2 linked regions of the Schizosaccharomyces pombe genome follow. The gene in region 1 interacts genetically with each later gene. Each region holds a gene or a part of one and is shown on either strand. Other genes may lie near its edges.

Region 1 (14,715 bases):
AAAATGTCAGAGTCATCATTAGTTGTTACTACAAGCCAATAACCGTTTTCACCAAATTGTAATGTTTTAACTGGACTTGAATGTGGTCCAAATTTTGTAAGCTCATTTCCCGAGGAAGTCTCAAAAAAGCGTAACTCGCCATTCTCTAACCCAGCGACAAAGAGGTTACCGTCCGGATGTACAGCAAGAGATGTAATGTGTTGAGCAACGGTGATATTATAAACCTGGGATTTCAGGGAGAAAATATAACACTTTTCGTTTGATGCTGCTAATAAATATTCCCCACTTGGATGAGCTTGAAGGAAGTTCACCTTTTCGTCTATAGGAATGGACGAAGTAGGTTCACCCACACTTTGTAAACCAGATGAGGAAACAGGAAATTCAAAAATTGAAATGGCATCAGCAGTAGCGACAGCAATCTTGGAAGAAGTCAACCAACAACACGCTAAAGCTGATCCTTCAAAAATTTTGAGAGTACTGTTGGATTGGATATCTAGACATAAAAGTTCATCCTTATGAAGACATAATACAAAAGAAGAATTTTCAGGGGACGGGAAGAAAGACGTAGTGCTTTCTGTTTCCAAATTTTCTAAGATAGTAGAAGGAGTAGCTTGCAAGAGCTGACTCACAGCATCGTCAGTCGCCCATTTAGGTTGTAACTTTGTACGTTTCCTTTTGGAAGAAAGTTCTTGAAATGTTTTTTCCACCGTAGAGCGTAAGCTAGTTTTAAGCTGGTCATCACTTTCGCCCATCTCTACCTCTTGTACTTCAATAGTTTTCGAGGAAACAGTGCCTATGTTATCGGAAAATTTCGCCAATGCTTCTCTAGCTTCGTCTCTTTCTTTGGTAAGCCGAGATATAACTCTTAACGCAGCATCTAGCGAATACAATGCCGTTGATAACTCCTGCTTCGTCTCTGTAAGATTTCTTCTAAGTTCAAATTGCTCAAGCGCGACAGAATCCCATTCTTCTTGAAAGAGAGACAGCAATGCAGGCAATGAAGTGGCAGAAGGAGGTCGAGGTCTAACAAAATCAGGTACTGTTTAAAGGTTAGCAATTATCTTCGATTTGATTCGCTTTATATGTGAATGGTCAGTACAATCAAAATATAGTAAATATAAATCGCATTGGAGAGCAAAAACCAAAAAAAATCTAAAGTATTAATACATTTTCCTCAACAACTCCACATTAATTTTGATAAAGATTTGTTTTGATAAATCCGACAAGGTTGTTCTATAATTCTCTAAAAACCTTCCTAATTTCTGCCCCGAGATATTGACATGCACTAAATAGTCCACTTTTTAAGGAGAAATATAAAGCTGTAAAATTAAAAAATTTCGAGTACAAATCAATCATGCAATAAAATACATTATCAACAAAAAAAAGAAAATAAACGAGTTCTTCAACCAATATTGCAGGGTTTTACTTTCCAAACCAATTTCAGAATATTCAGTACTCCACGTATAAAAAAATAAGTGCTACTTGAAATTCTTAACCATTCAATAATAAAGAAGGAAATCTTACCCTTTACAGGAACCAAGTCCTCCAACGTGCATTCCTGTTGAGTAACAGGGTCTTTAGACGTTTCACGAATAACTTGTTCAATCAAGCGCTTCTCGTAAACATTTCCTACATTCAGTCAGACAGGGAAATTATTGTACAAACATACCACTTACACGAGAAATCACCGGTTCTTTTGGCGTTTCTCCACTGATTGAGCAAAACATTCGGCACACGTTGGTTTCTGTGTGTAATAGCTAGAGGAAAGCAATGCATAGCCAACTAATCGTTTACTGCACTATACCAATATCCGTATATAATATAAGGCAAATGCGATGCATTTTGCAAATAATTTTCTAGTTAGTAGTGCAAATGTACGTACAAGGCATAGTAGGGTTTCAGTACCTCTCGTCTTCATAAATCTACTGGACCATTACGAGACTGGATAGAATTGGAGATAATTTACTTAAAATCACTACAGATTCCCATAAATTGTCCCTCTCTTCTAGCTACTCACGAACTGTTGCATCATGGATAATACATCTCTACTAACCCGTGGAGGTGAGATTTACAGCAGGAAGAAAGGGAAGAAGCAAAGATTGGAGGAGATCGTCTTTGATAAAGAGAAGCGAAAGTATGGATATCATAAAGGGATTGCTACTAACTTGTTACAGAGAGTATTTAACTGGATTTCATAAACGCAAAGTTGAACGACGAAAGCATGCTCAAGTTCAATTGGAGCAGCAAAAACGCGAAGAACGTTTAGCGTTGAGGAAATCTGTAAGTTTTTCTAATACTATCTTGAGTATATCACTAACACTATTCAGCTCAGAGAACAGCGCAAAAGAGAACTGGCTGAGCGATTAGCATTCTCTAAAGAGTTGAATAGCTCGCTAGAAAATGATGAAGAATCTTCACAGCAAGAAGATTCCTCATCTAAATCTGACAGCGAGGAAGAGTCATCAATGGAGCCTAAAACTACTGAGTATGACGAAGATGATAAGCATGTTACGGTAGAAATTGTAGAGGACGATGATGATGAAGAAATTGCTTATCCTAAAGAAGGTTTTGTCACGCCTCGTATTTCTCCTCCACCAGATGTTCCTTTGCGTCCCCACAAGCCTAAAAATGCCGCCAAAAAGAAATTTCGGTATGAGAGCAAATTTGAACGTACACAGGACAGAAGAAAAGAAAAAATACGTCGTTTAAAGAAGAAAATAAGACGTTAAATTAGGAACTTCAAGCACACGTTGTTTGACGCATCTTGCCCTTTTTTTATATTTATGAATATGGTTGGTATAAAATGATATTTGAATTCAATTGTCCATTCGTTTTTCAGGTTGAGAATTTTTGGAAGTTAACAAACTACTTTACAAGAGATCATTACATATACGGAGTTTTTCTTGGTCTGATATATGCATTTCAGCCTTTTTCAATTTTTTGTTCACAGTTTTGATTAAGGTGTTTGTACATGCGCAAAAAATTTGTACTCAATAAGCGGTAAGCTAGATTTTAGCACGATTTATATTTTTTTATTATGTTTAAAACCCGTAAATTTTAGAGATACTCTACATTTATATATTCCTTTGGATTTTAGTATATTAGCGAAATTCACTAGAATACCGAGTTTGATCTTTGTCAGAACACAAACCACGTCTGGTAATGTGGTAAACAAAAAAATATTAAAAAGAAGACTGCAACAGCTTTTATTTCATTAGCGTTGATCATGTTCTCAATAATAACATGTCTTCTTCAATAAACGGATTAAATGAGAGTGAAGGGTCAACGCCTTTAAGCACTGCATCTATCATTGGCTCAAGTGAGCAATTGTACATGACTCATGATGAACGATACCTAGACGTCCTTCAACAATACGAAGTTGAGACTGAAAATAAGCGTGACTTTGATTTGGAAGAAGAACAATGGGGCGTTCTTAGTGGCTCTTGTGTGGATGGAACTTACTGGAGTGCAGAAGAAAAAGAACTGTTTTTTCAAGCGGTTGCTCGAAATGGGAAAAGAGATTTAGATTTGATAGCTTACTCCATTCCTTCTAAAAGCGCTGTGCAGATCGAGCGTTACATAAATGCCTTAGAGAATGAGCTACGTTGGCTTCGTAATCACGTAGACGCATCCGTGCGCAGTCAATGTTTGTTGAAATATGAAGATATACCTATTGCAATGGAAATGAGTCAGAATTGGATTGATTGGGAAGAAAAAATTGCGGAAAGACTTCTTGAGGGTTCGAATATCTCAGGGGTTGAAACTTCACACTATAATGCGCAAAGTGTCAAAAACAAAACCTCAAATGAGGATTTATTTGATACAAATGAGATGAGAAAGATTTCTGAACGGTTTTATCATTTCGATCGACAAGCGCCTTTTCCAAGCAATCCACTTTCTGCTGGCGCTACGGAGTTTTTATTACAAATCATTAAAAGCAAGTTGAAGGAATTAATCGGAACATCTATATTTTTGGCGGAGTCTAGGTTTAGGAAACTAGAGGCTAACAATGCCTTTCATAGAAAACCTATTATCAAGAATAGAGACGTTGTTCTGTCAGGCAAATTTTTACGATTTCACCGATTCAATATACCCGGATTTTGGAAGTATTTACCCACTAGACAAAAGATGAATGTTTACAAAAGAAACAAACGTCTCAAATTTCAAAATTATATACACATAATGGAATCTGATGAAAGACAATCAAAACTGAAATTAGGACGAGTCAGAGCACGGAAGACAAAAAATAACGAAAACACCATGTTTTTTGATTCTAAGGAACATTCGACAGATGAAAGCGATGGTAACCTTGGAGAACATGATGTAAAGCGCAAGGTAGATTCTGTACCCGCCGATGAGACTAGCATCAATGGTTTTAAGAAATCTGTTAATCAGGCTGAGTATCCTGATAATGCTCAAATGTTCATGGATGAAAGTGTCGCAGAAGAAAGTCTTGTGGAAATTGATGACAGCGTCGAAGCCTACGACATGATTCAATCCAAAAACTACGAAAGCTTTGTTTGGAAATATGTGCTGCATTTAACCGATGAGATGTCGACAGAGGACGCTCTTTTTGAAACTATACCACTTAGTAATTTGCTGGCTCAAAAGCGAATGAAAGACAAGTTAAAAGGTTCCGACGTGTTTACGACTCTTAAAATAACTTCCAAGAGCTTGCACAACATTGACGAACATTCCGATAGTGATGATGAAGTTCAACCTATATGTTATTATTACAAGGATCCAGTTGTTTCCCATGCCCCGGGTGCAGCTGAAGTCGTATCTGAACTTGAAAGCGGATATGTAGGGTTAATATCCTATGATTTGTCTAATCTTCCAAATAGTACAGAAGATCCTGAAAGGAAACTTGCAAAACCTGTCTCTTCTTGGGAGTTGTCACTCCCTTTAAAATAGATGTCTTCATTTTCGAACTACAGTCTTGAAGCCTTTACAAAAACATAAATTGTTTTTTAGCGCTGCCTCTGTGTTGGATAGCAATCCTTTCTTTTTATCGTCATTTTCTGCCAAGTTTGTTTTTTCCTAGAAAGAAAATTTAATACTTCCTCTTTATAGCAATCAGTTATTGCCATTTATAATGATGAGTCCCAGTGTTCACAATATTCTGAAACTTTTTTTGTTAAAAACTGATTGCTTTCTTCCGTATAATTGTCCCAATATTCGCACCACAACTATAAAAATTTTTTTTAGGAGCCTTTACTTCCTTCTTAAAAGCAATAGTTACTTAATCAATTATAGCGACCCCGCTATTTGAGATACACATTTTATAAATTCTACACTTTTTGGAAACGAGCATTTTCTCTTGTCCCTTTATTTGACGATCCGACCGTTCACGCTACAAACGTCTACAAAATTTTTTTCTCTAGAAAGCATCTCTCCTTCTGTTTACTCCTGTTGCTACCGAAATTTTTTCTTTTTTTTTGTCCTCTGTGTTTTTTGATCAGGAATGTATATATCTTTAACCATTTTTTAGCGGGTTTTTTCTAAAGGTAAAGCTATTTAAGCCAGAAAAACAGTTCATTTTCCTTTTTCCTTCTAATTTCGGCAATTTCCCTTTTCACAAATATCACCATTTTTGAGTGGAAAGAAAAGCCTAGAGAGCGGAAACGCTGCCAAACCCATTAAAATTAATTATCTGTAATATTATAATCGTATTTAATAGCTATTCATAACACCCGTTTCGTCTAAACTCCCGTAATAAACCATGTGACTTTTGGCAATTTTACGCACCATATCGTAGAACACGGCGATAATTTCCATAGTGTTTCGCTAGGCTAGGGCAAGGCAAGCCAAAGACCATAGTGCCATGTGTACGACGCATGCAAATTTTAAGGGATTAGAGTGAACGACTCGCTACTGCCGTTCTCACCGCTCCACTGGGCAATGATGCCAACAACTGCAGTAATAATTATTCCTTAGCCATTTACCAATTGTTTCGAACTTCAATCATAAAATTGGGAATATTTTCATTTACTTGATGGGAAGCTGAGGAATGAAAATAGGTACCCAAAGGAATCGTTGTGAAAATAAAAATCAACAAAGCCAAATTCATGACGCTAGATTGAAGTTCATAACGTTTAGCAGGAAATAAGAAGAGCATATATACGATAAGATGATATTTCGAAAAAGTATTTCCAAATCTCCATCAAGCAAGGGAAGCACAGTATGCTTTCGCTGCGGACAGGCATTTCAACGTAGAGAGACACCTATTTCGTTTGGGGGTCATATGTGGCATAAGGATTGCTTCTGCTGTACGAAGTGCGATAAAGGATTGGAGCACAGTGATCAAATGCTGGTGCAAACCTCTGATGGACGACCGGTGTGTAGCTCTTGCGCCCATACCTGTACAGCGTGTCGTATGAGGATCAAGGACTATGCCCTAATGTCAGGCTACGACTCCTATCACAGAGAGTGTTTTCGTTGCCATGATTGCCGAAAGCAAATAATTGACTCTAACTTTAAAAGAGATAATAGGACTATATTTTGTAATGATTGTAAACAAGTCCGTCACCCTTCCAGGTCTTCAGACGAGAGCGCTGATTATCACAATTTTGAGGTTGATGTCACGATTAAGCCCACAGAGACAAAGTCTTCAGTGGAATCTAATAAGTCTTTAAGCATTGAAATTATGTCTCCTCAAAAGCCACCATTATCACCTTTTGGTGGAAGCAGAGACCGCTTAGTTAGCGAAACACCGACTAACATGAGTCAGGCAGAAGGGGGTAATGTGCCGAACGATGGACAGGATAGTAATCTTGCGTCTAATTCTGCAGATTCGCTGCTGCCTAGTGCCAAAAATCGAAGTTTTTCCTCGTTTACGAGTTTTGAATCGCCGATGAAGTATGACGATTCTTTCTTTCCTATTTCACCTTCTATATCTCCGTTACAAAAAGTTAACAAGCAGCAACAAATTGAGTCTCCTACAGCCACATTTCCGTTAAGCAAAAATACTTGGAAGAATCGATTCCATACGTTTCACAAACAATCTTTTACTCCTGTTAACGATAGCTCTTCCTCGGACAGCTTAAAACCCACAATTAATGAGGAAGCCCTGGACGACTTTGCTGGCTCTGCTTCTCCTTATAAAACCATGTCATTGACTGACCGAGCAGAGCCAATTGTCATGAATGGACATATGCGTTCTCTTCACAATGCCACCTCTCCCTTTCGGCCTTTTTCTCCCTCTTACAGGTCGAGTGATACGCATTCACCGAGAACCCGCTCACCGAATGTCCAAACCCATAAAAAAACCTCTTCTCAGCCATCTGACCTTTCATCTTTTGCGCAGCTACTTTCACCGCCTCAGGTTCTTTCTCCCAAACCAAATGGCGGGGGCCATAAAAGTTTTCGGCATTCGCATTCTCTTTCTGAGACTTCTCAGCAAACACTCGTTCCTTCGCTGGGATCTAATGGAGAGTACCATTTACCGACAAACGATCATTCTTCAACTCCAGCACAATCAGAGCGAGATTCGGATGTTGAAGAATTGCGTGAACAGTTGGAAAATCTTACTGCTCTTACCAAAAAATTGTCCGAAAGGCTCTCAAGTTCTACGTTTGACAACTCTAAGTTTATTCGTACGGAAGATAAGGATACTGTTCGTTCGGCTAAACTTGAAATTTGTGAAAAGTTTTTTTCGTTTGCTGATGTGACAGATGATCCCACGCTGAAAGATCCGAAACATCAGGATTTGGTGGCTGCCGCCAATGCTTACATGGCAATGCTTCGTGAGAGTTACGGCACTGAAATAAACAATCTTTTGGAAAGGAGAAATGAGCTGCTTGACGATTACAATAATGTACAAAAAATTTTAAATGAATCGCTTGAAGCATCTGTACACCTAAATACCAAAAATCTCGAGTTGGCCGACTTAAACAACAATTTGGTAAAACAAATTCAGCATAGAGTACCTCCTGAAAACCAATCCAATTTGGAGCATACTATTACCACATCTTCCAAAAATACAACCAGCAGTATTAATCCACTTACTGCCGTGAGTAGCAACTCTGGGCAGTCATCAGGTCGACCTGGTCCGTTGTCACCAAATTTGAATGTGACTACGAGAATTGACATTAAGGGAAAAAAGGGAAGTATGCATTTGCAACCAAGAGATGTAAACCGTAAAGTCCCGTTCAAATCAATGCATACTAAATCAAAGTCTGCCGATCCTGTAGTAGGAAATGAAGATCGTACTCAATGTGACCATGTGTTTCATGTTAATGCCATATTCAAGCCCTCAAGGTGTTATATATGCTCGGAGAGCGTATGGGGATCTGAACTCCGCTGCTTTCATTGCTCAATTTCATGCCATTCGCGGTGTTTAAAAAGGCTGTTTGCAGAGTCGGAGCATGAGAAAACAATGAGTGAAACTGTAAGTGAAAATAGTAAATGGATGCCGGAAATGCCAACGAGGATGCCTCCTCCTGGGCCTTCACCAACGATGTTTGGACGATCGTTAGAAAATCAATTGAAAATTGAAGGGTCGGTTTTGCCTCAAGTAATTGCTATGTGCGTTTCTTGCGTGGATGCGCATGGATTGGAGGTTGAAGGTATTTATAGGATATCTGGCAGTGCTTCTCAGGTCCGAGTGTTAGTCGACGAATTTGAAAACGGGTCTATCCGAATGGAGCATTTGACTTCTGACTTGTTTGCCTGTACGTCGGTTTTGAAAACATATTTGCATCGCTTACCGGAACCAGTTATACCTGGCACTCAATACGAGGAGTTGTTGGAAGCGGAAAAAATCGAAAAGGAAGAGGAAAAAATTGAACGGGTAGTGGAAGTAATGAAAACGCTTCATCCTGCACATTTGAGCGTATTTCGATTTTTGATTGCACATTTGGGTCGTGTATGCAAGCACGCGGAGAAAAATTTGATGAACTCGAAAAATGTCTCTACAGTATTTGCACCTACTTTAATGCGAGATAAGGTGAATCGGTTTGATTTACAGCATGCTACCAAAAAGAGTACGGCTCTTCAGTTTATGCTTGATAACGTGGATAAGATTCTTCATAATCTGTAGCTTGTTTTATGAATAATGATTAAAATATCGGGGAACTTGTATTTTTCTAGGGAAGAAGGAACTTTACGATAATAATAACCACTTGTGTTCCAAACTTCAATAAGGAATACTTTTCGAAGAAATAATGAGACTTTTTTTACACCTCTTTTTTTTAATGAAAAAAGGAAAACAAAGATATTAGCATAACACTCTTACATTTACGACTGAACTATTCAAACTGGGTAATACAGGATGTACATTATGACAAGCAGGCAAGCACACGCACGCTCATCAGATACAAATAAATACGCACGCAAATGGAGATTGTATAAAGATATTTGCCATTAAGCATTGCGAGATGCAAAATAAGGAAAATATAATGCTAATTTGATAAAAAAAAAAGAAAACAAACTCTTTTTAACGATACTAAACAGAACTCAACTCGATTTGGTTCGAGTATTTCGTTTCTCATAACTTGAACATAAACACAACATAAACAACTCATCAAAGACACATACATACACAAACACTACGGTCGTGCCATCATGTCTCGAAATCTCAAAGAATGGTATGGGGAACATGGTGAGGGATGAATGGCAGTGAACGTGAAAGGGGATGGATGGCATAATTAAATGTAATCTGCAACATTGTCAGTCAGGGTATGACTAATCAAAAAATAAAAATTACAAGGGAGTAAGAAAAAAAAAACAAAAGCAATCAAATAGTACTACCTAAAAGGCTTATATCCCTATCAAGATAAGGATCGTTTTGCTCTTCCTCATCAAGTTGTTCCTCGTTATTGTTTGCATTTTTCTTTTGTGTTCCATTAGCGCTCTTGGAGCGTGATTTCTTTCCTCCAAAGATGCTGCCAAGACCGCCAAGAGACGAGAAATTAACACGGCCAGTATGTTGACTGGAACGGTTGCGAGTAGACTCGGACCTGGAGTCATCGTCGCCGATATCTTCCTGAGTGGCATGGTAGCTGGAGCTCTCCATGTCATCCTCCTCTTCCTGGACCAAAGGTCCGGCCTCTGGATATTCATTCATGTATTCGTTGAATGAATGAACGCCCATCGAAGGATGGCGTTGTCTACCGGAGAAGGAGTGTTTGTCAACATGATGACCATGGGTTTCTTGAGTTTGATCACTAGAAGTAAAACGATTTGCCATTGCGGTGGATTTGAAGAAATTCGATTAGTCAATTAGTATTGGATGAAATTCAATTTCAAATTGATTTGGATTTGGATTGGATTGGACTGTCAATAACAATTTTCAACTCAATTGGTTATTGTTTGTTTTGTTATTGTTGTTGTTAGATTGTCAGTGGGTGGGTAATTTAGCTTGACTCGCTGATGATCAATAAGGGTGGATATGAATACGATTCGGTATTTGTTATTACGAAGGATGAAATATATATGTACTGTATTTTGGGAATGGAATTTTCACTCTTAGTGCCCAACCTTCTATTTATCTCCTTGCTGTGGCCAAATGTCATACGTATTGGGTTGCTACATTGAATGTAAGTGTGCCTTACTCGTCCTTTCACCCGCAACTCCATTGTTATCCAGCATCGTCATCCACTGCAATCGTGGCGCCAACCTCTTCACTTCCACCACCCATATAGCATATTTCCGTGAGTGTGTACCTCGGCGAGATCCGTTAAGTGGGTTTACGAAACAGGCCAAGAGGAGGAGGAGGGTTTGGTGATAATGCAATGGAGCACACAAGTAAGCAGGACGAAGTATGATTGATGGATGGATGAAGGAAAAGAAGAGAAAATGGCAGGTTGGTTTAGAAGAGGCTGTTCATCCCGTGGTATCGCAGTCTCAAGTATGGCACGGAAAACAAGCGTCGTTTTAATTGTCCAGGAGAAAAACAAAAAGGAAACAAGACTTTAGAGGGTCAGTCTTTTTTTTATGTCTTTTCTATTTTTGCTTTATGTTGTTGTTTTATATTCTTTCTTTCTTTTTTCTGCCTTCTTGACAATTAATTGATTTCCGCGGCAAGCTTAGTCAGTCTATAATACGGTGTTGTGCATCAGAGATGTTATGGCATTGCGTCATGATCGACACCCTTCCTAATCCCTTTTTTCTCCGCCTTCGCTTCCCCACACTTGGAGTCACAAGGCTGAGTCGATGCTACCTGAAAAGATGGGGTAATGGCATGACGAAAAAGACTGCAGGAAGAGAGGGGTGGGTGAAAGAAAGGGATTCAAACGAGACATCAATAATGGATGGAAGAAATAAAAACATAAAAGAAAAAAGAAAAAAAAAAGAAAGAAAAAGTTAAAGAAGATGAAAATTTTTGTTTGTTTGTCTCAGAACTAAAGTTTTTTTTGCTCAATTTTCTGTTCAATTTCTTTGATTCGCATTTTGTTTTGTTCCACTTTTTCTTTTTTTTTTGTCTTTGTTCCACCATTGGTTTTCTTTATCCATCTCTGTCCATTGTTGGTAATCTTGCTTTATGATTATAGGAGTCCTTTGTTTTCTCTCTCTCTTTTTTTTTTTATTTCTTTGTATGAATTGCCTTTTTTTTGACTAGCGTTCTTTGTCATACATGTCATCTTGAAATAGATGGTTTTGATTGTTTCTTGTTTTCAATAACTTTTTTTTTTTTTTTTCTGCTCTCTTTCTCTTTTCATTTTTTTTTTGGTCAGCGTGAGATACTGGCTTTCATTGAGCTACAATAAATAGTTTTGACTTTTTATTTCTATTTCTATTTCTTCTTTATTTTCCTGCTGTCTTTCTCTTCTCGCATACACAAAAGAGACTCAAACATACACACACACATACTCGGAGAGTTTCTCTCTCTCTCTCTCTCTTTTTTTTAGAGTTTCCTTTTTGCTCACTTGTTTTTCTTTGATCGTCGTTCTTTACGACATCTTTGTATTATAACGAAAATAACCTTTATTTGGACTTTCTTTTTATTCACTGTGGATGAGCTCACTGTGTTGTTCCATGCACAAATTTGTCACTTTCCATGTGAATTTTTCGTGGGGTTGTTGTAAACATTCATGAATTCCTTCGTTTGCTTTTTTTTTAAACAATTTTTAATTTTTATTTACTGTTTCTAATGCTGACATTTATTTGCCTTTTTTATTTCATTGCAAAACATTATATATGTATTCATAGTAAAAACTGAAGTGAAAGTCTATTACAGTCATTTAAATAGATTAGCTCATCTGTATTAAAATTAATAAAAGCATTGCAATTTATATTATAAAGTATGCTTAAAGCATTGTCTCGTGAGAAAGTCCAGTAGGAATTACTTAATTGAGCAGCGCCTTTTCTACTTTACTTTGTATACTATATGTTATTGTTTTACAGTTATCAAAACTTGCTTTTCCTTTCCTGAAATAACTGAGGTCAGTAAATTTAATGCTTCCAAACATCTTCCTTTGTATCCTCTTTTCAGTACATTCATTTATGAAGAAAGTTGTAATTACTGCAGTAAAAGGTGTTTCCCAAATTACAATTCCCACACTCGTGCTTTATTTTGCTAATTCACTTAGCACTCATACTTAGAAATCGTTATTTTGAAAGTACCATTGTAGAACTTAATAACACCACTATAATGGACTATCTAAACGTTGTGTAATTTTTACATTCGTTCGTCCTATGTTCAGTAAAAAATCTTTGCATCATTGACTTGGAAAATGAAAAGCTCATCCATGCTTCTCTTCCCTTTCTCATAGACTCTTGTTTGCCCTTTCCATTATTTTTAAATGTTTATTTATTAAATAGTGATCACTAGTGAATGTCAATAATAAGGAGTTGCATGATTTTCATCCCTATATTGTTTCCAGTAACGATGGATTGATTGTATACTGCAGGTGCAGGATCTTTGATGATAAGAAGAAACTGGATCTGCATGAGTGCAAAAATTTTTCTCTGCTTAGTCCTTCATTTGACCATACACACGATTCATATTTAATATTTAACCACCTCTTGTCGTTCATTTTGCATTTTCTTTTCTACGATACCTTTTCTCGTATTTTACAAATTATCATCCAAATACCAGGCGGTTAAAAACCGTTTTCTCAACCTTTTGATGCTGTATAGACATACCAAAAAATAGCGTTCCATCATTTTTTATTCTTGTCGCACCGTTTCGTTGAGTTGTAGGCTCGATAATTACTGAGAGAATCGGGTTTAAAAGTTTACTTTCACAACTTCCTAAACTCCTCTTTTCTTCTCTTTTTTTGAATACTAAAAAGCGTTTTATATACTAGATATGCACACACATTTCGCAAAAGTAAACACCCAGGGATAGCTTTTTTTTCTATTCTCCAAAACACTTAGATCCAACCTTACTACTACTGATTATAGTTGGTGGTTTTTTGTTTTCACTTTCTAATTTCATTACAATCATGACTGATTCGCAAACGGAAACACACTTGTCGCTAATTCTTTCAGACACTGCGTTTCCTCTGTCATCTTTTTCTTATTCGTATGGGTTAGAGTCGTATTTGTCTCATCAGCAGGTGAGAGACGTCAATGCATTTTTCAACTTTTTACCATTGTCCCTCAATTCAGTGCTACATACCAATTTGCCAACTGTCAAAGCAGCTTGGGAGTCACCGCAACAATATTCCGAAATCGAAGACTTTTTTGAAAGCACACAGACATGCACAATTGCCCAAAAGGTCTCCACCATGCAGGGTAAATCTTTGTTAAATATTTGGACAAAATCACTCTCCTTTTTCGTTACATCAACCGATGTCTTCAAATACTTGGATGAGTACGAAAGAAGAGTTCGTAGTAAAAAGGCACTCGGTCATTTCCCAGTGGTTTGGGGTGTGGTATGTAGAGCCTTGGGATTATCGTTAGAAAGGACATGTTATCTGTTCTTATTGGGGCATGCAAAATCGATTTGCTCAGCAGCTGTTCGCTTAGATGTTTTGACCTCCTTCCAGTACGTTTCCACTTTGGCTCATCCTCAAACCGAAAGTTTACTTAGAGATTCGTCGCAACTAGCTTTGAACATGCAACTAGAGGACACTGCTCAGTCATGGTATACGCTGGACCTTTGGCAGGGTAGACACAGTTTGTTATATAGTAGAATATTTAATAGTTAACAATCATCAAAACTGGAAAATACGATTGCCATGTAGCGATTTACATCTGAAACCATTTGTAGAGATTGAAAAAATTGCTCTTGGAAGGGTGCTTCGAATACGTTTTCGGAAATTTTAGTAAACGTCGTCAAAATTTTTGCCAAACGAATACCTTCCTGAGGTATGCTAGGTAAATAAGTCAACATGTGTTCATTCAAAGCGATCAGCTCATTCTTCATAACGATCGATGCATCCATTTGGGTTGCAAAATCCTCTAGTTCCAAAACACGATATAGCAAATTTCCTGTAACTATGTACTGTTTCGGGATTTCAGCTAACAGTACCTCTTTGTTTCCGTCGATAGAAAACTGATAGTTGTTTACAAATACTTCGACCACACGAGTCGTCAATGCTTCAATCAATTTGCGGTCCACTATATCCGTCGGCGATACCCTAGTTCGAAGTGTTAGCACTAAAAAATTAAGATGAAAGATAAAACACATATATATTAACGCCAATCGGATTCAAACATTTACCGCCAACGCACTATCAACACATACTCTTCAAAAGTCAAAGTAACAGCTAATTGTACTTGTTGAATCAACTCATCAAGTTGGTTATTCAACAAGATATACGCAAT
Region 2 (16,395 bases), on another chromosome or scaffold:
TACTCTTCGCACTTGTCTTGTTTACATTTTAATTCTCCGAAACTCCACTTCGTTAACTAGCTTTGCGAGGTTTTGGGATTTTATAAGTTTGTTTATTGTACACTGTAAGTAACGTTATAAATGGATAACACAGCAACCCTGTTTTGCTAACTGTCCTTGCAATTTGCTTTTACTGTCACTTAACTTCCTCCAAACACTAAACAATCATATAAACAAAGTCAGATGGGCAATTGCTTGTCTTGTTGTGAGAGTATGAGTGCTTCTTTAAATCAAAAACTTATTAACAAATACATAGAATCAAAAGATGAACAGTATGAGCCTCTTTTGGCCGATCGGGAGAGGGAAGCTGTTGCGGATTTATTAAGCTTTCTTGAAGATGTTAGTGAATGTCGATTACTTTAAATTCTTACCTTCTCTTGACTAACGTTATCTTGTTGTAGAGAAATGAAGTCAACTTTTACAGCGAGGAGCCCTTACGTGCTTTAACCATTTTGGCATACTCCGATAACCTTGATCTACAGCGTTCAGCAGCGCTTGCGTTTGCAGAAATTACTGAAAAAGGTAATGACATAAAAACAATAGTTTTGGTTTAAACAATTCCCAACTTCGGAAATGAACAATGAGGTCTTGATTTAACAAAACGGAAAGAATATATATATTGTGTTATCAACTTTCTTTCTTTGTTTTTTTTACAGTGATTGACTAACACACTTTTTTTAGATGTTCGAGAAGTTGATCGTGAAACTATAGAGCCCGTCTTGTTTTTACTCCAGAGTCCTGATGCTGAAATACAGAGAGCTGCCAGCGTTGCTTTAGGAAACCTTGCTGTAAATGCCGAGAATAAGGCCTTGGTCGTCAAATTGAATGGATTAGACCTTTTAATTCGTCAAATGATGTCTCCTCACGTTGAAGTCCAATGCAATGCTGTCGGTTGCATTACTAATTTAGCTACCCTTGACGAAAATAAATCAAAAATAGCTCATTCTGGTGCCTTGGGCCCTCTTACCCGTCTTGCCAAAAGCAAGGACATTAGAGTTCAAAGAAATGCAACTGGAGCATTGTTAAACATGACTCACTCATGTAAGTTATACATTTGTCGCTAATTATTTGTTAATCTATTGAGCTTTGTTTTGAGCAAAAAGTTTCAATTAGTGGTTGTCTCATAATCTATGGATATCAACTAACTATGATACTAGATGAAAATCGACAGCAACTTGTCAGCGCTGGTACTATCCCAGTGCTAGTATCTTTGCTTCCTAGCTCTGACACTGACGTTCAATACTATTGTACTACTTCTATTAGTAATATTGCTGTTGATGCAGTACACCGTAAAAGACTTGCCCAAAGTGAGCCGAAACTCGTTCGTTCTCTTATTCAATTAATGGATACTTCAAGTCCTAAAGTCCAGTGCCAAGCTGCTTTAGCATTAAGAAACCTTGCCTCTGATGAGCGTTATCAAATAGAAATTGTTCAAAGCAATGCCCTACCCTCTTTATTAAGATTGCTTCGTTCTTCCTACCTTCCTTTAATACTTGCTTCCGTTGCCTGTATCCGTAACATTTCTATACATCCTTTAAATGAGTCTCCGATAATTGATGCTGGTTTTCTTCGTCCGTTGGTGGATTTATTATCTTGTACGGAAAATGAAGAAATACAGTGTCATGCTGTTTCTACCTTACGAAACTTAGCTGCTAGCTCGGAGAGAAATAAGCGCGCTATTATCGAAGCTAATGCTATTCAAAAACTTCGCTGTTTAATTTTAGATGCTCCTGTTAGCGTGCAAAGTGAAATGACTGCCTGTCTAGCCGTTCTTGCTTTAAGTGACGAATTCAAGTCGTATCTTCTTAACTTTGGTATTTGTAATGTTTTAATCCCATTGACAGACTCTATGTCGATTGAAGTCCAAGGCAACTCTGCGGCTGCTCTGGGTAATCTTTCTTCTAATGTCGATGATTATAGCCGGTTCATAGAGTGTTGGGATTCTCCAGCTGGTGGCATTCATGGTTATCTGGTCAGGTTTTTAAGTAGTGAAGATTCTACTTTTGCCCATATTGCTGCTTGGACCATTGTACAATTACTAGAGGCTGGTGGTAAGTTTTTTTTAGAGAATTTATTGACGATTTTGTCTACACACGATATACGGAATATATTCTTTAGCTAACTCATTATAGTTCCACGTTTAACTGCATTTATACAATCTAGCGACGATATCATCGAATTACTTAATGACATAGTTGCTAGAGATGCTAATAATGGAGAGTATGAAGATGGTGAAGGCGATGTTATATTATTATCTGGCCGGGCATTGCATTTAATTGAACAGGACACAGATTCTTAATTTTTATTTTTATTGGCACATTATATTACCCTTCATCTCTTTATATTTTTACCGTCTCAACCCCGTTTGCCAGTTCGGAAGTCTATTTGACTTAATGACATGAATCACATTTTATTAATGATTAGTTTTTTAGAAGATGATAAAAGTTCGTCCGTAGTTGATTCCAAATAATAAACTTATCCCTTCAACACCTGAATAAAACATGTGACATGGAAAAACTAACATGCATATCTTAATAAATACTACTATGAAACCAAAAAATATCAAAATGAACCTAAACTTTAAGAGCAAACAAATGGTTGTAATATATGATAAATAAATGACACCGAAAACAGAAATCCTTTCTTAAGATTTCTTCTTGTTTGATCGGAATTTACCAAACAGTTTTGTCCACAAACTGACCCTTGGAGATGCCTTTTTATTAATCTTCTGCGATTTTTTATTGGTTTCCGAAGAAGCAGTAACAGTGACCGGTGACTTTGCGACGATCGGTTTTGTATTGTTCACGAATGGCGGTGATGTGCGAGTTGACGGTTTACTATCTGTAGCAGCTGAAATAACCGACCGCGATGAAATGTTATTAGCAAAACTCATGGAAGGAACAGCAGTATCAGAAACGGTGGAAATCTTAGGCTGGGGCTGTTGATTGTCAACAACGACTTTGGTACTCTCATTTGCTACAGCATCATCATTTTCTTGGTTACCCGATTCATTATCGGAAGAGTCATTGATTAAAGGAAGCTTCGAGATATGCTTAACATTAGGATAACTTTCCTCAGATGCATTCACATTTTCAGGTATCTGTTCTGGAGAATCTTCTTTCGGGACTGCAGGAGTAAAAATAGCAACTTGGTCAGTTAACCCAACATCAGAAAAACAATTGGGTATGTCGAGAGAATTGATTTTAAGTAGTACCTCTGGCCAGTGAATAATCAGTCCCTCTACAATCTTGGCTTCAACTCTAGCCTTTTCGGTTTCAAATCTCATAAGGTCATTCACATTTCCAGAAGGACAAGATTTCGAAAGATCAGTAGAAGAGTTACCCAACAATAAAGGACCAAAAATAATACCAAGGGCTTCCGGCTTCATCAAAGTAGAGTCTTTGGTATTTTCCATTCCATTTTCCAACTCTTGAGTCCGTGTAGCTATTTGATGCAATAATGCTAGTAGAGAGCAAAGGATAGAAAAGCGCACGTAAGAATCTATTTGTGAAAAGCAAAGAGCGGCCATTTCATTCCGGATGTCTATAGGAACCTTTACTCTACTTGAATCAACGTATAATGGTACTAAAAGATTCAATATATCTTTATGCGTAAAAAGGCCACCTGGCAATAACATAATGTACCGTTTTAAGACAGCTGCTATATCGATATAACTTGGAAATCCAATACGCTTAAAAATTTCTGATGTTTCATCAAGCCAAAAATGAGGTGGAGAATAAAAGTATTCTGTGATTGCTTTTATTACGGGACCAGAACCACTAATGCGGAAAATTCCCGGTACATGCAAAGCATTTAAAGATAGAAAATGTACGCATTGAGCAAAAATATGTGGGAGCAACAAAGAAGGAGGTGCACATTCAGGAGTGGGAAATGTAAATTTGCAAAGATTTGTGGGATCTGACGTTAAATCGCCGATAGGTTTACCAAATACGGAAGGATTATGAGCAATTGCATTATGTTGATGTGCATTACGATGAGGAAATTTAAAATAATTCGTTAAAGAACGACGATGCAAGCCAGTGGACTGACGTTTTGGAGAGTAAGTAAGAGAGGGGCGGCGGAGGATAGAGGACCAAGATCCCTTGGAAGGGCTTCGCTTTGGAGAATCTTGAGAGGCATTGAACTGTCTTTGAGAGCCAAATGAAGATGGTGGGTATTGGAGAGGTTCCAACGTATCTGATGAGGATAGTTGATTCGTAGCCGACAAGGAGGGAGAATCTTGTGAAGTTTGTAACTCGTGTGAAAGGGAGCTTAGATTTAGGGATGACCTCCCTAGAGGACCATTGTTTGAAGGTTTATCAAACCGAACTTCTGATACTGCGCTTTCTTGAAGGTAAAAGCTAACATGTTCTAGGGAGGACGGAGTATCTCTCTCTTCCAATAGTGTCGAGTGTATCAGCTTAGTAGGGGATCCACATGGAGTGAAATATTTATCAGTATGAGCATCTGGAGGTGAAGAACTTTTGGATTCATTAAATACGCTATCGTCGGAGTACAGAGATTGTTTAACCTCTTTTATCTGGGAAACGTACTCCTCGAGATTAATTTCGTGTATGTTGTAAGTCTGAGCTAGCTCACGAAAGCGTGACAAGCACGAATTTTGCTTAGTAAAGAAAGGAGCTTGCTGTCCCTCCAAATTGCTTGCAGATGATGAAATTGATGTGGAAAGGCCATTTTCCACTTTCGCTAACGATCCTCCCACCTCTAGCGACGGTTCTTCGAAACGTTTCTCATCGGTCTGCGCATTGCTAGACAAGACGACATCCTTGTGCTCTTTCAGGTCCCCAAGAGTTCCATTGTTGAGAGTCGAAGGATTTAAGGTCATACTTCTCCCAACAATTTCAAATTTTACTACACGAGGTTTTCGAGGCCCGTAAAAGCTATAAACCTCAATATATACTCTCCACTGATAGAATTTTGAAATAAATGTCGATTAGAGAGACGTTGGCTTTGGTAAGAACCGTTCTACATCCGTTACTTACTAAGAGGTTCAGCCAAGTAGCAGGCGTTGAAAAGTAGAGTACGAGCCGAAGCGAAAGATAGGTGAACAAGTAGTCACATATTGAACGAACCAAAAACTCATCTTCTACACGGACTATTGTAATTTAAGGAAAGACAGCAGCTTTCAAACTCCCATGGTGCAGTTACTAATGGAAGTATTCCACTGAGAAATCTGAGAAGCAATCTTATTATTAGTTCGTAAGGAATTCAAATGTTTGGCACCAAAGCAGATATTGTTACTATATGAATTGATAATTTAAATAACAATCTCATGCTTAAACACACTTTCAAGCTATTGGAACATGAGACACAAGTATAAACAGTTCCATAGATGAGCCTCGCAATCGAGCGATTGTTTCTCGCTTAGATATAACTGTATTTTTTATGAGGGTACATGTGACTAGCAATGCGGTATCAAAAAACCAAAGGACAAAATACAAAAAACAGGATTAGCTGTTATCCAGAAAAGAATCAAATGCAAGCATGAAATTTTTTGAATAATTTTCTGAAGCACAAACAGCTCTAAGTATCAAACATTAAGAGTTGCGAGAACCGCCTAAATGGAACACTCGCTTTCATCATCATACTTGATGGTCTGAGATTGATCTGGAAAGTGGAGTGAACGAACACTAAGAATGAAAATGCTAAATTTAAATTGCTATCTATTAATATATAATTTTTCTTATCGTTTGACTTACACTTCCATTCTAGAAACTTGCAAATAGGGGCAGTAAAGATAGGCAGCAGAGGCCCTCAAAAGGACTGAAAAATTATTTACTTCACCCAAAAAAGCGTGGGCCAAGTTTATGGAAACATCTTAGCGAATATCTATCATCAAGACGAAAACAATTATCTCAAATGCAAACGGTAATAGAATGCTAACAAGCAACTATGATAACTATATAATGCTTTATAAATCAGTCTACCTTTTTTACCTCCAATAAACTACCACATTTCAAATCAAAATTTTCATACACCACATACTTTACGGATTTTTTACACATTAAAAACAAGTGAAGAAAAAACAATTCATTTAAAATTATATCTTAATCTATTTCGTAGAAAGGTCGTCAGCTATAGAGATCGCCCTAGGAGCGCAATCAAAATGATAACGTGGAATAAAAGAGGAAAATCTCATACATGTCTATCATTATCGTAGCAAACCCCAGAAAAGGAAAAGGGGGAAAACAAGCATAAGAATAAAAAACCAAAAGTTCGCACATATGTAAGACCCCCCAAAACCGAACGCATGTTCAGTTGAATAGCTTGGAGTTTAACAACGGCTGATTAGAGAGATATAGATTGACGACGGAATAAATCGAAAGAAGCAATCTAATCCTTGGAAGCAGTGTAGGCAACCAAGTCAACAACACGGTGGGAGTAACCCCATTCGTTATCGTACCAAGAGACGAGCTTGACGAATTGAGGAGAAAGTTGGATACCGGCAGAGGCATCGAAGATGGAGGAGTGGTTGTCACCACAGAAGTCGGTGGAGACAACAGAGTCCTCGGTGTAACCCAACACACCCTTCATGGGACCCTCAGAGGCAGCCTTGATAGCAGCCTTGATGTCCTCGTAGTTGGTAGGCTTGGCCAACTTGACGGTCAAGTCAACAACGGAAACATCGGGGGTAGGGACACGGAAAGCCATACCGGTAAGCTTACCGTTAAGAGCGGGAATAACCTTACCGACGGCCTTGGCGGCACCAGTGGAGGAGGGGATGATGTTGGCGCTGGCGCCACGACCACCACGCCAGTCCTTCTTAGAGGGACCGTCAACGGTCTTTTGGGTGGCAGTGGTAGCGTGAACAGTGGTCATGAGACCCTCTTCAATACCGAAGGTGTCGTTGATGACCTTGGCAAGGGGAGCCAAACAGTTGGTGGTGCAAGAGGCGTTGGAGATAACCTTCTCGGAGGGGTTGAACTTCTCCAAGTTAACACCGACGACGAACATGGGAGCATCCTTGGAAGGAGCAGAGATGATGACACGCTTGGCACCACCCTTCAAGTGAGCAGAGGCAGTCTCCTTGGTAGTGAAGACACCAGTGGACTCAATAACGTACTCAGCACCAGAGGCAGACCACTTGATGTTGGCGGGGTCACGCTCGTTGTGGACATCGATGGAGTGACCGTCGATGACAAGCTTGCCACCCTTGGTCTCAACGGAGCCCTCAAAGCGACCGTGGGTAGAGTCGTACTTGAACATATATGCCATGTAGTCAAGATCGATGAAAGGATCGTTGACAGCGACAACTTGGATCTTGCCAGTGAGGATGGCGTTACGGAGGACGATACGGCCAATACGACCGAAACCGTTGATACCAACTTTAGGAATTGCCATTGTTATCTGAAAAGAGTTAGTAAGAAGAAGAGATCAAAGAGGAGAGAAAAAGGCAAAAAGAAGCGAGAGAGGGAAGAAAGCGAAGAGAAGAAGAAGAAGAAACGATGAGCGTCATTAAAAGAAAAGATATCATTATTGAGAGAAGAATAGAAAAGAAAGTATACTAAAAACAGCAGCTTTGTCGCTTTCGGCAAGTCTATTTTAATTTCTGACCAAACTGCCGTCAAGCGAAAAATAAAGCCTTCTTTACCGAAAGAAACGGAAACTAACGAATCTTATCACGACTTCGTTGTACAATTTCACCATACTGGATATGACATGTTTTCGTCATGTCAAGTAAAATCAGAGAGCCTCTTCTCTTGGCAATCTCACTGACCATTTTCATTTCAATTCATCGCTCAAAATCCATCTTTTTCAACTAAAAGAGAATATCAAAAGAAAATATCCCTTCCTTTTCCTCAATCTATTTTTCCCTCTTGGCAGGTGTTTGACACATGTCACATGTCTCACCAAGCCAATGCTTTGCCAATGCCACAGCGCATCACATACCTAATTAATTCGATTGCTATTTCTCAAAACCAAACAAGTACTATTGCTGATTTCTTGATACTACAAAGAAGCAGACTGGCCTACCACTCCTATTTATATTGTATGTGTTTACGCTAGAGTTGTCATGCCAACGACGGTATCGTAAGCGGCGATTTCCGTGTTCGGTACTTGGCAGATCGGATAATGAAATTAGCGGCCTTCTAGATAACTTCCCATGCGAATATTTTTGGCTCATAATCATACAACAATCGACGCATTGCGTTGACCTTTCCCTCGCCTCGCTTGACAGGAACGAGAGAGGCAAGGATGGAATGGCATGGAATGGATGAGTTGGGATGGCGGTGGAAAAGAAAAAGAAATGTAAACAATGAGTGTAGAGGAAAGAAGAAGAGAAGAGAATAGCATAGCATAGCATAGCATAGTAATCAAGAGGACAAGTGGGAGAAATGAGACAAGTGGTAAATCCAAGTCAACTGTGAAATTTCGAATGCAATTGGATTCAATCCATTTCTATTGATTCTATAAAAATGTTCATTTACTTCACTATTCATCGACTCACTTCACTAATAGTCATCGAGTATATCTGCTGTGTGTGTCAGTCTCGTCCCTTCCATCATCCATCAATCCGCCCTTGGAATGGCGTTTCCAATGCCTAGATGGAATGGAATGTTTAGAGGGTTGGCCCAGTTAGCTGTTGTTAGGCTGACGATTCTTGCATTGAATTGCATGATTTTGTTTGACCGTGCTAACAGGGCTATTAGCAAGGCTCATGGCATCCCAGCGGCTCCTCGGGAATAACGAGGTGCAAAGTCTCGTTAACATCATCTGTTTGTGAGGGAGGATGGAGGAGGGTAGGAGGGTAGGAGGGTAGCGAAAAGGTAGGAAGGGAGCGGGTTAGACGTGGAACATGAAGGAGAAGACATAGAATAACAAGGAGAAGATATAGAACAATTGTTTACAGTGCACAGTTTGGAAAAGAGATTCAGTTGGAAAAGGAAAATCGTTGATGTTGAGATTGTTATTGTATAAAGTTTTTGCTTTCTATTGACATCTCTCATTTACCTACTACCACTTTCCACTCCTTTTTCTCTCTCTCTCTCCCCCCCTACTTTATCGAGTTCAACAATACTCTGCTGTCCGACTATACTGAACTACGACGCTTTGCACTATGTTCCTCTGCGCTTGACTGCCCAGGACGTTCCTTCGGTTAATCGTAAGCTGTTTCTTCGGAAAAAATTGATCGGCAGTTGGGACAATTTGAGTTTCCGGGGCGGTTACAAGGTCTTGTGATGGTTGGCGGATTCGGATTGAAAGAACCCTAATTCACCTTCTAGAGAAACCTTATGTGAATGAGCTGACGAATCAACCATCGACGAGGATCCTTTCAAGGTCCGGGATGCGCTCATCCTCAAGTCCATACTGGTTCCGAGAGTTTCTATTGCGTCACTTTTTATGTAGGCGAAATTAATTTTGGCGGGCCACCGTCCGATAAGAAAGGAAAAGGAACCGAAGGAAGCAGGAGGAAGCAGCTGAAACAGCGCGAGACTCACATACAGAGAGTGAGGAATAACACAGTAATGCAACGTAAAAACAAAGCCATCAAAAAAGAACTTTGCTCTATGGAAACACACTGTAAGCAATGGAAACCCAGAATTGTTGTCTTCATAAAGGTCAATGAGTAACACAAAAAAATATGAGTTTTTAATCAATTGACTACTTCAATCCATTCTTTCTTCATTCAATTCCCATTCCCATTCCCTTCAAACGGCCGAACTAGTTTCTTCCTTGTCCTCCATAACGAGCAGTGTCAACAACGTGCACTATCCTAACGTAGAGTGTCATTCTTTCCAAAACATTTTAGCACATTGCGTTACCTCATGCATCACAGTAATGGGGTCCAGCTCGCTTGCTAATTTACCCATTCTCCTTGCAATCCACCCCGCACTACACTATGCAACATACCGTGTTTCACCGTCGTCTCTCCATATTCGCTTGAGTTCTTGGCGTTCTCGCAAACAAACTGGATGTCTCATAAAAGGAATTCCTCTTTTTCTTTTCTTTTTTTTTTTTGAATCTTTCTTACTCCCTTTGTCCTTCGCACACTTGATAAAACAGAGGAAATTGATTTTCAACAAAGCAATTGACTTTAAACTAAATTCACTTTGTTGTTCATTCACTTGTTATCCATCGATTTTGTTCGCTTCCTCGCTTCCAATTCAATTCATTGCACTCCCACCTACTGTATTTCTTCTCTTCTTCAAATTTTATTCCAGACTCTTTTTTTTTCGCATCATCCCAAGTCACATACTTTACAATTCATTTCGCATCGTTCTTTTTCTTTCGCACGCATCCCCCGCCATCCTACATACTATTTTCACATTTACTCTATCCATCCCAAATTTACCCTAAATTATCTACCACCATTCAAATCCGCTCTCTACCCAACAACCTCATTTACATGTGCCAATTCCTAAATCACATGTTTACCATGATATGTCTAACGGTATTCGAGGCGTGATTTCTAAAAAGTCATGCAATTCAACATAAATTTTCCCCAAAATTCATCGATAATCCTGTTACCTTTTTTTGTTATAAATATTCATTCCCTTTTCTCTTTTCTTTCACATTTGTCAACGCATTCTCTCACCGTTTCACTTGTCTCAATAGCTTTTTTACAAGAGCGTTCACTCCCATTTCACTTATTTCTTGTCTCCATTTTTTAATTCTCTGTAAATTTTATCCAATTCCTTTCTCAATTGCTTTTATATCGAGAAACGAATTAATTTCACCTGACTATATTGATTTGTAACCCAACCCACTCATCATTGATCGCACTTTTCCTTACCCATTTGTTTACTGGATTCCATCCGATAACCTATGCAATCCTAAAATAGCGAGACTCGTGAAGTAACATACTGCGGGTCTCGCTATTTCGGTGGTGGTTTTCTTCTCACTATTTCTCTATTTCACGATGGGCAAATTTTTCTTTATGATGAAAATATCTTTTTCCCTTTCACGTTCCAAGTTCTGAAATCATTACTTACAAATTACTAAATTTCCTTTCTAACATCTTTCTCACTACTTTCCTAAATTACTCCTCGATGTGTTATTGCCATTGCTCCAACTTTCTCCGTTCTTTATACTTGAAATACAGTTAACCCTTTATAATGACTACCATTTTACTTGCTATTACGACTCGCTATTTTTGCGTTATATTGCTACTATTTTCAACCTTATAGGAATTAATGTTTCAAGACATCGATCTATTGAATTTAATTGGTTTGATTTGATTTGAATTATAATCTACTAGGAGTCTTTTTCCTTTTCAGAACTTTTTCTACGTTTGTGTATGACACTGTCTCTTCTTCAACTACATCTACATGAACGAATCTTGCCAGTAGTGAAGGTTAGACATTCTATTTTTTCATGAGAATTTTACAACAGCGACATGCTGTTTTGCTAAATTTGGATGTTTCAATTTGCTATATTTCTAGAATCAATAATACGTATTATACAAATTTGCTCTTCATTTCAATGTAAATAAAAGTATCAAGTTTTTCTATTCAGTAGACTTAGCGTATAGGGTTGACGTAGTGTTGTTGACTGAAGTGTGGCATATATTACTAGCGAAGCTTTTTTTTTTTTACACTTTGCTTTAGCGAATTCGCTTAACATTTGCCGTCAAAAATTGTTTAAAATAGGAATGCCGAGTGAACCACCCCCCTAAATTGCCAACTGATTAAACGTGTTTCATTAGCACTTGACTTTTGGAAATATAATAATCATTACTTGAAACTAGTTATCCCACTTCGCATTGCTTACCCACACCTACAAATACCTTAACATCAAATCTTTATTTACCCTTTCCCTCTTCCAAAACGCCAGTTTGTTTTAATAATGCAATAAAAAAATACTCTATGAACATACAAGGAATTACCATATAATGGCAACATTACGGCGTGGTATGATATGTTATGATATGAACAAGCAACATTTCAAACTACATAATTAAGCACTATCAAACAGAAAACACATGTGACCACATAGCCATATAAATCACACACATATATATATTGAAAAACTTCATAAATTCGATTGTCCCAATAAAATCGATTTTACCCTTCCATTAATAGCATCTTGTCCGCAATTATTTTTAGCCTATTTTTGAATCCTTATAAAAAGCATTTTCCAACTTCTACGTTATCAAACTTTTTGATCATAAGTTCAATTTAAGCATTACCGTACCAACCTCCTGGTCGGTTTATAAATGACTGGTTGTATGCATTATAGCCTCCTAATCCATTACTACCTGCATTGGTAGATGCTCCAGAGTTGAACGGAAACCCAGCGGGTTGGCTGTTTGCATTGTTGACCTTGTTAGCATTGCTTTGAAAAGAGGTTGTCTGCTGAGTAGCAGCATTGGTCAATGGCGTTTGTTGAGGAGGTAAGCCATAAGGAGAGGCCGCATTGGCACTAAGGTTTTCAAAACTTCCAACATTACCCATAAACATACCAGGAGCCGCACGTCCCATCCCTGACATGGAAGACAAACCACCCAAAGTACTTGACATGCTGTTCGCCCCGGTTACGCCTCCATTTCCAATCACAGAGTCACGATGTCCAGCCGCTTTCTCAGTCATGCCGCTAGTATTTGCAGTGGCATTATTAATTGGGTTGCTAGTTTGTGTTCCACTCATACCACTTACATTGCCAGGCTGTTGTCTGTTGTACACGTTGCTGTGTCCACCAAAGATGGGAGGGAAATCATTAAAGCCGCTCTGAGACATGTATCCTTGCTGGGGCTGTCCAAACTTGTTATTATTGTAAGGCATCGTACCGTATCCATAAGACACATAAGGAATAGGATACATTGGAGGAAATGCATAAGGTTGGGGCTGTTGTTGAGAAACAACAGGGCTAGGAGTCGCTGTTCCAGCAGCAGGTAGAGAAGTAGCATTAGAAGATGCAACCTTGTTATGCATTACCGAGTGCACATCTGGTGTATTCGACGCACTACCAGCGACATTATCATATTGTGAGTATTGATTACGCTCATTATAGTAATGAGCTGCTGGTGCAGCTTGACCATATTCAATAGGAGACATAGTAGTGTATGCTGGATGACTAGTCTGTTGATATTGTTGAGAAGTATTTGAAGCATATCCCAATTCAGTACTATGGTCGATGTGTTGAAAATTGTCGAATGGGCTATTGGCGGAGCGGTTTTCCACAGGATTCATAAATCTAGAAGAATATGGAAGTGCAGTTGTCTCCCCAGCATTTGAAGATGCAGTTTCGTTGTTAAAAGCAGCTCCGGTAGACGGAGGAATAAGACTAGCACCAGCATATGGTTGAGGGGAAATTCCATGTGTAGCAGGAGAATAAATACCGCCATATCCGGCACTTTGTTTACCAACCACCGGGCCACTTGTAGCACTTGTGGATGCAGCGGGTATAGTCGTTTGGGCTGATACTTGAGGAGGGATGGCCGAGACAGAAGAGGCGTTTCCACTGGCCGGTAAATTTACATCGTGTAAACCACGATATGGTGTCTCGTTAACATGAGATTCCTTCAAGTTTTCGGGAACCTTCGATTGTGGAGCACGGCTTTCATATGCTGAAGTGTGTTGTTTCTTTGGGATTTTGGTGGATTCAGCAACTTTGCTCGCCTCTTTTTTTGCCTCTGGCTTTGGTGAAACTGTCTTTTTAGGAAAATAGGAACTTCTTGGTCCAGACTGTGCTATGTTGTCTGAAGAAGACTTTGTCGATTTTTTGTCCTCACCCCCAAGTGTCAAGCTTCCGAAACGCACTTGAACCTTTTCGGGAATAGCAGCAGTATTAGCAACAGGCATAACGACGGGGAATCTATCAGAAAGTAATCGAGCAGTAGTCATACTAGTTGTAGAGCTTTGAGAGCCAACAGCGGCTTGCTTCGCAAAGGAGGGCTTAGGTAGGGAAGCAGAAGAGATGTTGGAAAGCCCAGGAGCGGGCTTGACTGCATTTATGGCAAATGGGGCAGTACTCTTTTTGGGAGCTGAGGTAGCTGTGGAGGGGGTCGTTTCAACATTTGCGGGAGTTGCAGAGTCCTGGGATTTGTGAGGGAAAGGAACAGATGAGGATGACAGTTCAGCAGGTTTTTCGTAAGCAGCGGAAACATTAGTTTTAGAGGGTTGAGAAGGAGCGATAGAGGGTTTAGAAGGTTCGGATTCGGGAGCGGGAGCGGGAGCGGGAGTGACCTTTTTCTTCGACTTTGCAACTGAAGCCCAAGCCTTCTTTATAGGCTTTGAAGATGCAACAGCCTGATCAGCCGCACTGGTCGACTTTGCTGAGGCCGAAGTACCGCCTGCGGTGCCGTTCGTATTTGTTGAAGCAGCGGTATTAGCCGATGTTAAAACTGAAGCTTGTTCATTAGATGTAGTATGATCTTTCATTGAGGAATCTTCATTAATAGTACCAGGATCAACGGAAGAAGACACTGTCGTTGATGCAGGAGCTTTGGTAGAAATTTCTGAGGAAGGAAGATCGCCAGTACCAGCAGGCTTTTCTAAAGAGGATGGTGCATGAACGGAAGAAGGATCTGAGGGAGCTCCTGCTTTTGATTTTCGAACCCCCCGAGAAGTATCCTTAGAAGCGGAAGGTTTCTTTGATTTACGTGTAGCATTACGAAAGGTGGAAGAGACATTATCGGAAACTGGAGCATGACTTGTTGGTTTGGACTTTGTTTTAGGGATTGGCTTCTTTTTAACTTCACCCCATTTGGAGGCGTGACCTTCAGTAATATGCAATATGGTCAGTTCCAAATCCCGGTCCGCTTCTTCTAAAGCAAAACTTAAATCATCAATCGTCCAGCTAGGAAACAGCTCTTGCAATACGCTTAACTGCGAATCACGATCAAATTCGAGCTCAAGCGCATTTGATCCCTCTATATTACTAGTCTGAGACGAATTTGCCGGGCCAGATTTTCCTTTGGTGCCTCGCCTTCCCTTCGCTCCTCTCTTGGCGGAAGAGGATGAAGTTTTATTATCTTGCGATATATTTAACGCTGTATCTGTGTGTTGCTTTTCTGAAACTTGTTCGGTATTTCCGACCTTCTTTGGCCGAAACTTTTTATTCTCACTCATTTTTGATTCTACTTTTCTTTACAAAAATTAATACAGGTCTTGAAAATCGACAAGGCACGTGTATTCGTGCTTCAAGACGATATGCAAGATTTTTCGTGTTATTTAAGGGTAGTGGTTCTGGCTGCGTTTTGGTGTCGTGCAGCATAGTGCTTTTGCTTAAATGGAAATTGCCTATACCAGAGCAAGGTGGTAGTGAATGCGCTAAAGTGCAAACTATAGCTTTCCTTGAAATTTTTATACATAGAAAAACTTATAACGTTATAAAGAACAATGTTATTGTTTAAATTTTACTTTACTTTTTCTTCATTTTTGCGATTACCTTTTCTAAAAGCTTGATTTATATAGTAGTGGAGTGCAGTTTACTATTGTATTTAACGATTTACCGTTGTGTATCTTTATTGCTCTTAAGACAATAGCTAGTTAGCTGCTTGCCTGAATACATGAAAATATGATGAAAGTAGAGCTCATTGTATTAACTTTTCTATTGCCCAATTTCTTCGATACTGTTAAAAGATGTGCAATTCGTTTAGCTAAATTCAAGTTGACTAAACACCTTTCGTTCCATGCTTTGCTATTACAGATTCCTAACACGTTGGTATGTTTAGAAATTTGCAATGCAATATCGGGTATTCAGTTGGTCAATTTATGAAAACTTTAATTACTGCTTCAAGTAATAATCCATCCGTTCTAATTACGCGGCTTCAGTAACATTCGAAGCTCTTCATTCACTTTGTTGGGTTCAAGTGAACCACACTTATAAACGTGATGCCCTTTATCTAAAAAAATAAATATGAAGCCTGCTAATATTAAATTAACAATAAAAACAAGAAACATTGCTTTGGCCGGGAATCGAACCCGGGTCGAATCGATGGCAACGATTCATTATACCACTAAACCACCAAAGCTTGTTAGAATGCTCTATTAAAAAGCATATATCTATTTAATTGTAGAGTTATAAAAACATAGAATATTGATAAAATAACATTATAATTTATTCAAAAAAACTAAATTGTACAGCTGAATAATCGCCTAGTTATATTAAGATAAATTCTAAAAGCATTATTATCAAAGTTTCTGTCAATGCTTATAACTAATGTGTCAAATGGTTTGATGAAGCGTTCGCATTATTTTACTATTTCATCTTTAATTTTGTCATTTTTTACAAATTTTCGTTGTTTTTTAAAAAAAATTGCTGTGAACTTTAGTAGTATCATCTCGCAATTTATATTGATTTTTCTTCTTTTTATTTTTATTTTATTTTTTTATTCAATTGTTAGTAACCAAAATTAAGTCACCATTTTTGGCAATTCAAATGACTAACTAA

The links.
Region 2: of rga3 (region 1) and rga6, changing one enhances a phenotype caused by changing the other (phenotypic enhancement), as found in Schizosaccharomyces pombe (one study listed by BioGRID).

Annotation. Positions count from the first base shown.
Region 1 is NC_003424.3:5,120,254-5,134,968, reverse strand, and holds rga3 (Rho-type GTPase-activating protein Rga3), read left to right. Parts: upstream 1-5,935; 5' UTR 5,936-6,130; coding exon 6,131-9,040; 3' UTR 9,041-9,736; coding exon of another isoform or gene 9,737-10,189; 3' UTR 10,190-10,355; coding exon of another isoform or gene 10,356-10,577; 3' UTR 10,578-11,641; downstream 11,642-14,715. Other genes in the region: Prp19 complex subunit, ubiquitin-protein ligase E4 Prp19, read right to left, coding at 1-1,039, 1,525-1,629, 1,670-1,727; rRNA exonuclease Rrp17, read left to right, coding at 2,031-2,134, 2,175-2,280, 2,328-2,729; RNA polymerase I upstream activation factor complex subunit Rrn5, read left to right, coding at 3,244-4,914; protein mug108, read right to left, coding at 9,737-10,189; SPOM_SPAC29A4.22 (uncharacterized protein), read right to left, coding at 10,356-10,577; urease accessory protein ure6, read left to right, coding at 13,389-14,096; pex3 (peroxin-3 peroxisome import protein), read right to left, coding at 14,093-14,528, 14,636-14,715. UniProt on the Schizosaccharomyces pombe protein: GTPase-activating protein for Rho-type proteins.
Region 2 is NC_003423.3:569,737-586,131, reverse strand, and holds rga6 (Rho-type GTPase-activating protein Rga6), read right to left. Parts: upstream 4,988-16,395; 5' UTR 4,886-4,987; coding exon 2,684-4,885; 3' UTR 2,339-2,683; downstream 1-2,338. Other genes in the region: protein Vac8, read left to right, coding at 223-250, 296-378, 441-561, 721-1,080, 1,197-2,090, 2,172-2,338; glyceraldehyde 3-phosphate dehydrogenase Gpd3, read right to left, coding at 6,394-7,401; RNAPII degradation factor Def1, read right to left, coding at 12,180-15,071.